Nothobranchius furzeri: one gene and its partner. The main gene of each other region encodes a partner of the protein of the gene in region 2 in a complex. Links are inferred from orthologs where the notes say so. Each region holds a gene or a part of one and is shown on either strand. Other genes may lie near its edges. The genes, in order: ptp4a3a and metal transporter CNNM3.

Region 1 (4,546 bases), on a different chromosome or scaffold from region 2:
GATTCAGTTACAATAAAGTTCAGACCTTCATGACGACGGTGGCACAGGAGTTAAGTGCTCGCCCTGTAATCGGAAGGTTGCAGGTTGGAGTCCCGCTCAGTCTGTCGCTGTCATTGTGTCCTTGGGCAAGACACTTAACCCACGTTGCCTGCTGGTGGTGGTCGGAGGGACCGGTGGCGCCAGTGCTCGGCAGCCTCCCCTCTGTCAGTGCGCCCCAGGGCAGCTGTGGCTACATCGTAGCTCATCACCACCAGTGTGTGAATGTGTGTGTGAATGGATGAATGACTGATTGTGTTGAAAAGCGCCTTGGGGGGTTCCAGGACTCTAGAACAGGGGTGTCAAATGTGCGGCCCGCGGGCCGATTCCGGCCCGCAAGTGGGTTAAATACGGCCCGCAAGATGGTTGTGTAAACTTTATTTTCATACTTTACAATGTAGAGTGAAAATAAACTCATCTTTGTGAGCAAGTTTTCTCTTTAATGAGTATAAATAAAACAAAGCTGCGCTCAAGGCTCGCACAAGAACTTGAATCACAACCTGAAGTTGGCCGCCACTCAGGATGTGACTTCTGATATTGATGTGCTGGTGAAAGCTAAAAGATGTAAAGTAAAATGAGTCAAATATACTTTAAGTGCTGCATGAAACTGATCTAGCCTTGTGATCTGTAAGCTCTTTGAATCACGAATGTTTTTTTATTGATTGATTTTTGATTTTTTTTCAAATTTTCAAGTACACTTCAGGTGTTGTACTATTTTGGATACACTGTCCAGCCTTGTTTTATATTCTTAGGTGTGTTCTTGCTGTGTCTTTGTAAATCCATGCTTTCGTTCTTTTTTAAACACAGAAGCTGCCCGCAGATAAACGGAGAAGGAAGTGACGCGCCACCATCAGCGTCAGCCTGAAGAAGCCGGCAGCTGTCGGCGAAACCGTAGCTACAAACAGTTAAACAAAACTGTTTCTGTGTTTAAAAAAGAACGAAAGCATGGACTTGTTTTATATTGATTGTATTAAAACAAGGAAAACAATCTGAAGTTGTTTTTAATTTACCGGTCCGGCCCACTTGGGACTAGATTTCCCTCAATGTGGCCCCTTAGCTAACATGAGTTTGACACCCCTGCTCTAGAAGGTGCTATATCAAATACAGACCATTTACCATTCTGAAGAAATAACCACAAGGTCAGAAATACAAAGTGATGTAAAATGTTCTAAAATCCACTTTACCATTTTTTAAAATGAGAGTCGTTTTAGAACAACAAAAATCTGTGCTCTCGTTCTCTCTGTGACTCGTCGTGAGCTCATCTGTTTAGACAGAACTAATCCCTAATTCTACAAACATTTTGTACAAAGATCTTTCTACAACAGGTCTGAATGTAGCTGTTCCCCAGCCACGTCAACACTTTCCTTCAGGACGAGGAGCATTTATGTTACAGAACGTTATCATCTCTCCAAGAGCATTAACTCTGGTTGGTTCTGGTGGTGACGGGACCGTCAGGATCAGATGGCCGCTTAGCCTGATTAAACCAGCTCACAGCAGATCCTCAGCACACTGCTGAGGTGGAGCTACAAACAGGCACATGCAGCGCCGAGCAGGACAGAAGGACACAGAGGACAGCTGAATGTTGTAGAGGGACGAAGCTACAAGTTTCTGCAGGAAGACTTACCCTCCCTGCAGTTGGACTAAGGAACACCTCAGCCACTTGTTGCAGAAGGACTAAAACTATAAGCAGAATTTCATTGAGGCAGAGAGCCAAACATTTCTAAACCTATTTCTGCATTAGGAGAGACCCCTCAGGAACTAAAAGGTACAGTTTGTTTGACTCATTGCTGCCGTTTCATGAAAAAGCTGTAAAATTTGTTGTGGCACTTGAAGAATGTCGAAAAAAGCAAGAATTCCAATGAATGGTTTCTTGGATTGTTATTGAGCTTAAGAAACTCTCTGGAATGCCTCAAACACTAGATGTGCTGTACAATCACCCGCTGGTACAGATGGAGCTATAAATACAGCTGTGGGTGTTTAGGAGGTTTACTATAACAGGCAGTCAGCTGGTCGGATGTCAGCTCCCAAACGTCGGTGCAGCTGCTGAGGCTCCTGCAGAACTCTTGTGTTTTTGTGGACTTGCCTGAGCTGAAGCTGGGAGGTGAGAGAAGTGAGAGTTACATATTTAATTTGAGTGACCTGGATGATTCACTCTGCCGCCGCAGCTGTTTTGGGCACTAGAGGTAAGTGTGGGATTTATGCTGCTGTTGCACCTTGTTGTTAAGAGCAGCGTGCCTCAGTCTGACTTACGATGCTGCCACGCACTGGCACAACAGCTGGCCTTCGGGTCTTTTGGGTTCTGACCTCACCTCACATCAACGGAAAAGACTGTCTTGTCTTAAAACAAAATAAAGAGTCACGCTCTTACGTACACGGCGTGCTTTAGATGTCTTCTAGTTGTGTAGGACTGCTTCTCACACCGTCTCCTCACAAACAGATAAATATTGTTAGTTTTAACGTTTCTAATTGACTCTGTGTAAAACAAGCTACCTCCACCCTGACTATTATTAACAGCAAGAGATAAATTCCTAATTATAGATCGTCAACATCCTATTTTGGTTCTGGTAGAGTGTTATAGGTGAGGACAGATTACCTCCAGGGCTTTTCCTGGTAATATTTCTGAGTGTTTAGGGAGGGAGCAGAAGGTTACACCTAACTCAGAATGTTACCTTTCTATTGCTCAACGCCCCCCTCATTAGACAAAATAATCACCCTGTCTGGGTCGTTTAACAGGGAACGTTTATCAGCAGAACTGAACTTTTCTATCGTTTAATCTATTAGCAGTGCTGATTCGTCACATTTAGAGAGATTTTGTGTAATGAGAGACGGGTTGGAGATGTATGTAGATGATTTTTTTTATTTTATAAATCCAGGGAATTTAAAAGCATTTTATTCCTTATAAATTTGGCAGAAAATCACGTTTTCTTTTTCTTTACTCCTGATCAACAACCCAAGTAAATATAAACAAACAGCCCATTTAAGATGAAAACAGAAGAAATATCATCAATACTCAGAATCGGTGACAAATAGGAACAACAACGATGAAGGTAACAAAATGGAAGCTAAATGGAAATCAAAAACAATTTCCTTTTATAATAACTTTCTGTATTCAGACCCATTCGCTGGTTCCTTTCTGGTTCGATAAGTGATCCTCTTTCTGAGTTTTGTTTATTGTTGTTATTGTTAATTAACAAATTTAAGCCATTTGCATCAGTTACATGACTGGTTTGTTGCACAAGTCAAAGGCAGTCAAAAGGTCAGAGGAGGTACGACTTGTTTCTATAAAGATGCCACAATCCATCTCCTCGTTCAGGAGAGCCATCTCTGGTGACGAACGTGCACGATGAGTCATTTATTTATGTATGGTTAAAAAGATTTGACATTCATGTGATCTAAACATCCAGGATTTATAGGATTTGCCTGCTACGTTGTAGCATATTTGAATAATAATGGTGATTTGTGTGTGTGTGTGTGTGTGTGTGTGTGTGCGTGCGTGCGTGCGTGCGTGTGTGTGTGTGTGTGTTTTGTATTCCAGAACTGCCGGTTGATGGAGTTTGTGAGGCAGAGTGGTGACTATTGCCACGCTCAACACCTTTAGACCGTGTTGGGATGACACAGCGGCATGCAGTCCTGGGGCCATGAACCTTGAAAGATCACGGCCCTTTGCCTTATGAACCCATCAGCTCATGGGGTCACAAGTGGAGCCTCAACACCCAAAGCTAGCTGGAGTGAAAAGGAGAGAGAAAAAGTCACCGAGGACAACAAAGAAAGACAGGATTAGTGACAATAGCAGAGGGGATCACTAAACTGACAGCGAGTAGCCACATGGACTATAGAAAACTGTCATCAGATAGGAGAGCAGCCCAGAGCCTCAGAGCTGGGGACACACAGTAAATAGTTGCTACGAGGAAGAAGTCTTGATTCATCTGAAGATCTGATCTTCAGCCAGACTGCTACAGCTGGAGCTAAAGGTGAGGATGCGCCGCATCTGGGATGACTGATGTGATGCTCCAACAAGAGGGTTCTGCAGGGGTGTTTGTAGATTTCACACCAGATTCAGAAAGCTCCCGTCTAAAGGCTCTTAGATTAGTCTAAGTGCTGCAAAGCGATGACTTGGATTTGCTGGGAAGAATGAAACTGTGACACGGAGATATGTCTCCTTTCTGATAAAATGCACACGTCTTGGCATTAAATAACAAAATTATTCAGAATAAGTGTTTCAATTCTAAGATACTTTATTAATCCCAGAGGGAAATTAGAGTTTCAGTACACACAATTCAGAGATCAGACATACATGGGCAAAGACACATGACAAGAATTGGTGACTGTGGTCATTCGCAACCCTGAGTCGCGCTACTTTAACAGAGATCAGAAGGTTACATGAGGATTGGTTCAGGTGAACAAGTCAGTTGTGTGTATTTAAAGTACATGTGAGCTTATGAGGTTTCAGTTTACGCTGTAAACGTAACAACGCTCAACCATCAGGATGCATTTGCTGCATTAAAATGGA
Region 2 (4,349 bases):
CTCCTCTTGCTTTGCATCTTTATCTTTAACATGATGCAGAAAGTATTTTTAGTTGCTGAAAGCAGCCTGATCACACAGATGTAACGTCTGCTACAGCGCCCCCTGGTGTTTGGATCCCAGCACTTATGTTTGTTTACATCTCAAACCAGCCTGCTCACCAGTCAGAACTAAAATATGAGAAAATGATGAAGCTGATTAGAAGTAAACTGTTTTCTTATATGTAAAACTGTAACGTGAATAATAGGAATATGTAAAAATTAGGGTTTTCATTTGATTAAAAGGTATAAAAAAAGTCCGATCTAACATCCCCAAACATGCAAACCCTTTGCTCAAATTCTTTCTGACTTGACTTTTTGCACTGCATGTTGCAACACGATGAACTCAAATAAAAACATTAGCGTAATAATAAGACATATCCCTGTGCTGTTGCTCCCACCTCTCCTCTTCGTAGATGGGCACCCGGGTGTACCCGCTCTGCATGATCTCCGACATGGTGGAAAAGTCGAGAACAGCTGAGCTCTGCAGCATGAAGCAGTCCTTCAGAGGAGTCAGGATGTCCTCCACTGTCTTTGTACGCAGCATCCCACGGCTGAACTCCTCCTTCACAAACTCACTGCACACACAAGCACACAAAGACAACAGACAACGTTAGAGTGTTTAGTTTACGACTTTATTTTTTCTGATGTTAATCTATTTCTGTTTTGAGATCATTATGATTTGATGACTTTGTTTTGTTTTGATCTATGTGACGCACTTTGTGATTCTATGTCTGTGATAAGTGCTATACAAATAAAATTTACTTACTAGTTGTCTGGACTCTGGACTGAGTCCACGGAAAGGTCAGGACTTAAGTCTTTGCACAAAGATTTCAAACTCCAAGCTTCAAGGTTGGTTTTTTTTTGTTTATTCTCTTCATTTTTATTTCCAAGACCACTATATCAAAGTCTTTGAGACTGCATGGTGTTGCAGTTGGTAACACTGTTGTGTCAGAGCAAGAAGGTTGCAGGTTTAATCCCAGCAGCAGCCTTTCTGCATGAAGTTATGCTTTGCTACATGCATCCATGAATTTTCTCCAGTTTTCCTAGTTTCCTTCCCACAGACCAAAAACATGCATGTCTGTTTAAAACCGTAAGTCTCTTTAGACGCAGAATGGTGCACAATTTCAGGTTTCTGTTTGGTTAACCTTGAATCAGCTTAATTCCACTTCACAATTGTGTGCTACGTTGTCTTCTATCACAGAAAATCTCAGTAAAGTGTGGTTGTAAATTGTTTGTTTTAATGTAGGTTTTGTGTTAGATTTAAGTAAACAAGTAAAAATGACTTGTATAAAGGGGTAGGGATATATAAGTTTCCACTTCAGCCTACTCCTTTTCAAACACAGATGGGATGATATGTATTTTTTCTGTTTGTGGTACTTTTTAAAAAATTATGTACATTTTCTTTGTTTGAAATAAACTAAACTAAACTAAAATGTGTCAAAGTTCAAGGGGTCTGGATACTTCTGCAGTATCACAATAATAACATTTTTGCATGTTTTTATTTAAAAAATTATACTTATAGTTTTTAAGCCATCAGACAAAGTCACAGATCAAACTGAAGGTGTCTGAAAGGAACTTAGACCAAGTCCTGTTTTAGCCTCTCAGATCAGTTCTTCTCCGGATGATTCAAACCCTTATTTTAGATCCTTATGTTTACCAACAAAGTTATTTTACCTGTATGGGTCGTTGACACTGGCTCGGATCATCTCCATGGCTCTCTGCCTTATCCCACAGGTGCTGATGTCCCTTCCCAGGCCCAGGTCCAGGATCAGCCCCAAAGGGCAGGACAGAGGGCAGGTGAGAATCATGCACACCTGGGCCAGCCAGGTGAGCGCGGGCGCCATCTGAAAGCCGTAGTCGGAGCACAGGATGTGAGGAGCCAGCTCAGCCAGGAAGAAGATGAGGAATCCGCTGGTAAAGACCGCGGAGACGATGCACCCCAGCGCCTTGTACAGCAGCACCCCCAGGACCGAGTGTCCCAACGCGCACAGGAACAGCAGCGAACAGGTCTGGACGGAAACAGGAATGGTGGGAACACGGACACAAAGCTGCCTTCCCGACCTGCTGGGCTCAGAAACTCACCAGGAAGTTCCCTCTTCTCCTGACGGGCTCCAGGCGCTTGGCGGCTCGTTTCTCCTCCTCGGACCCGCAGCTGTGGAGCACGTAAAGCTCCACCGGGTCCAGCCACAGCAGGCTCAGGTTCACCGTCCGGAACACTCCGCACATCAGCAGCAGCAGCACCACCAGGAGGGCCAGACCCCACGGCGGGATGTAGTCTGCTCCGGGACTCTCCTCGGGACTGATCCGGAGTCTGTCCGGGCCAACAGAAGCCCACCTGCCCCCGCTCAGCGCACACAGGTGGTGGAGGCTGCGCCCGCTGCCCTTCACCTCCACAGTCAGCAGTCCGCTGAACTCCTCGTCCGGGATGAAGTCCTTCGTCACCTGGAAGGCGGACTCCAGACGGCTGGACTCGTCTTCGCACGGGTCGGGGGCATCACCGACCGCCCCCGTGGCTCCGTCAGCCGCCTCAGCGAACGCGACTTTCGGCCAGCTTCCATTCAGGTTAGCCCCAAAGAGACGGAGCTTGAACGTGGCTCCTTCTGGCGCTGAGATAATCCGGTCCTTCATGCACACCAGCTCTTCCGGGTCCTCCAGTCGCAGCCCCACAACCTGCGGAACTTCTTGGCCGCAGGCGCTGTCTCTAATCCCGCAGAGCAACACTATTATCATCCACAGAACCCGTAGACCTGCCAAGCTGGCCACCATATTGGAGATAGTCAGCCTTGCTCTGCGCGGGTCACGTGACTCTTGCTTGGCGGCCCCGCCCACCTGGAGAACTCATGAAGCTGCGCACCGGGGGCGGACATTTTGGCTCAAGCCACCCAAGCTGAAGACGGGAGGAGTCGGGAGATGAGCGGTCATTTTGGAGCTGGATTCTGAATGTTTTTGTTTTCAACACGCCGCCCGTTGGCTGTGAGAGTTCGCAGCGATGAGTTCACGCCCATCTTTGTTAACATTCATCGAAACAAGCCCCTCATGACTGTGGCTGACGAAGGCGCTTTGTTTGCCTTTTAACGTTTATTCAGAGCTCATAAATAGGTTTACCTTTTCCATGTCCGTCTGAAATCGATTGCTAATGAGTTACAAATTCAATTAGATGTATGCCATGTTTTTATCATCCTAGTGCTTTACAGAATAAAGTTATCTATTAGTGCTGACAACAGACAGCAACATGGCTTGAATAACACACGCTTTCAATTCTCCTGTTTTATTCTTTGTTTCCTCAGGCCACCATAAACCAGTCTTGGGATATTTACAATTCGCCATTGGTTTAAAAAATGTAAATAATGGCTACCAGGCATTCCTGGCAGCATTAGAACTGGTTAAGAAGGACAACATCTTAAAAATTATGAAACAGTCTGGCAGATTTTGACAATATCTGTGAGTGAGTTGAAGGGCGGGCAGTATGGGATCCAGCACAAGTCATTTATGAATGGAAGATATACTCGACCAAATAATTTCTTCATTATTGGGCCCACATATACCGTGGGTACAGAAAGTATTCAGACCCCCGTCAATTTTCCACTCTTTGTTATTTTGCAGGCATTTGCTAAAATCAATTAAATTCATTTAATTCCTCATTAATGTACACACACCCCATATTGACTTGGCCATTCAAGAACAGCCACACAAAGTTGTCGTGATGCCATTCCTTTGTTATTTTAGCTGTGTGCTCAGGGCCATTGTCAGGTTGGAAGGTAAACCTAACCCCAATTTGAGGTCCCTGAGCACTCTGGAGAAGATTCTCGTCCAGGATATTCCTGTACTTGGCCTCATTCATTGTTCCCTTGATTGCAACCAGTCATCCTGTCCCTGCAACTGAACCTGAATCCAGGTTCAGTTGCAGGGAACCTGTAAGGACTCCAAAGCGCTTTACACTGTAGTGTAAAGCGCTTTGGAGTCCTTACTCTGAGGGGCGCTATACAAGTGCGGGTCATTTATCATTTTAACCCCTCCCCCCATGATGCTGCCACCGCCATGCTTCGCTGTGGAGACTATTGGACAAGTGATGAGCAGTGCTTGGGCTTCCCCACACACAACACTTAGAATTAAGGCCAAAACGTTCTATCTTTGTCTCATTAGACCAGATAATCTTATTTCTCACCATCTCAGGTGTCTTTTAGCAAACTCCATGCGGGCTTTCATGTGTCTTGCACTGAGAGGCTTCCAACAGGCCACTCTGCCATAAAACCCTGACTGGTGGAGGGCTGCAGTGATGGTTGAATTTCTACAACTTTTCTCCCATCTCCT

Evidence for each region.
Region 1: the proteins of metal transporter CNNM3 (region 2) and ptp4a3a are in contact, whole or in part, in a crystal structure (PDB 5TSR), measured with the Homo sapiens proteins. The link is inferred for Nothobranchius furzeri from reciprocal best matches to the Homo sapiens genes CNNM3 and PTP4A3. Residues at the interface, in NP_060093.3 of Homo sapiens: Ser357, Asn358, Phe394, Asp396, Lys418, Val419, Asn421, Glu424, Gly425, Asp426, Pro427, Phe428, Tyr429; in NP_001425170.1 of Homo sapiens: Asn5, Pro7, Asp72, Gly73, Ala74, Val105, Ala106, Leu108, Gly109, Arg110, Arg137, Arg138, Gly139, Ala140, Ile141, Asn142, Lys144, Gln145.

What each region holds. Positions count from the first base shown.
Region 1 is NC_091745.1:41,275,960-41,280,505, forward strand, and holds the start of ptp4a3a (protein tyrosine phosphatase type IVA 3), read left to right. Parts: upstream 1-1,544; 5' UTR 1,545-1,801; intron 1,802-2,031; exon of another isoform or gene 2,032-2,219; intron 2,220-3,571; 5' UTR 3,572-4,007; intron 4,008-4,546. UniProt on the Homo sapiens protein: Protein tyrosine phosphatase which stimulates progression from G1 into S phase during mitosis. Enhances cell proliferation, cell motility and invasive activity, and promotes cancer metastasis.
Region 2 is NC_091746.1:39,506,003-39,510,351, reverse strand, and holds the start of metal transporter CNNM3, read right to left. Parts: upstream 2,906-4,349; 5' UTR 2,805-2,905; coding exon 2,121-2,804; intron 2,048-2,120; coding exon 1,713-2,047; intron 614-1,712; coding exon 437-613; intron 1-436. UniProt on the Homo sapiens protein: Probable metal transporter.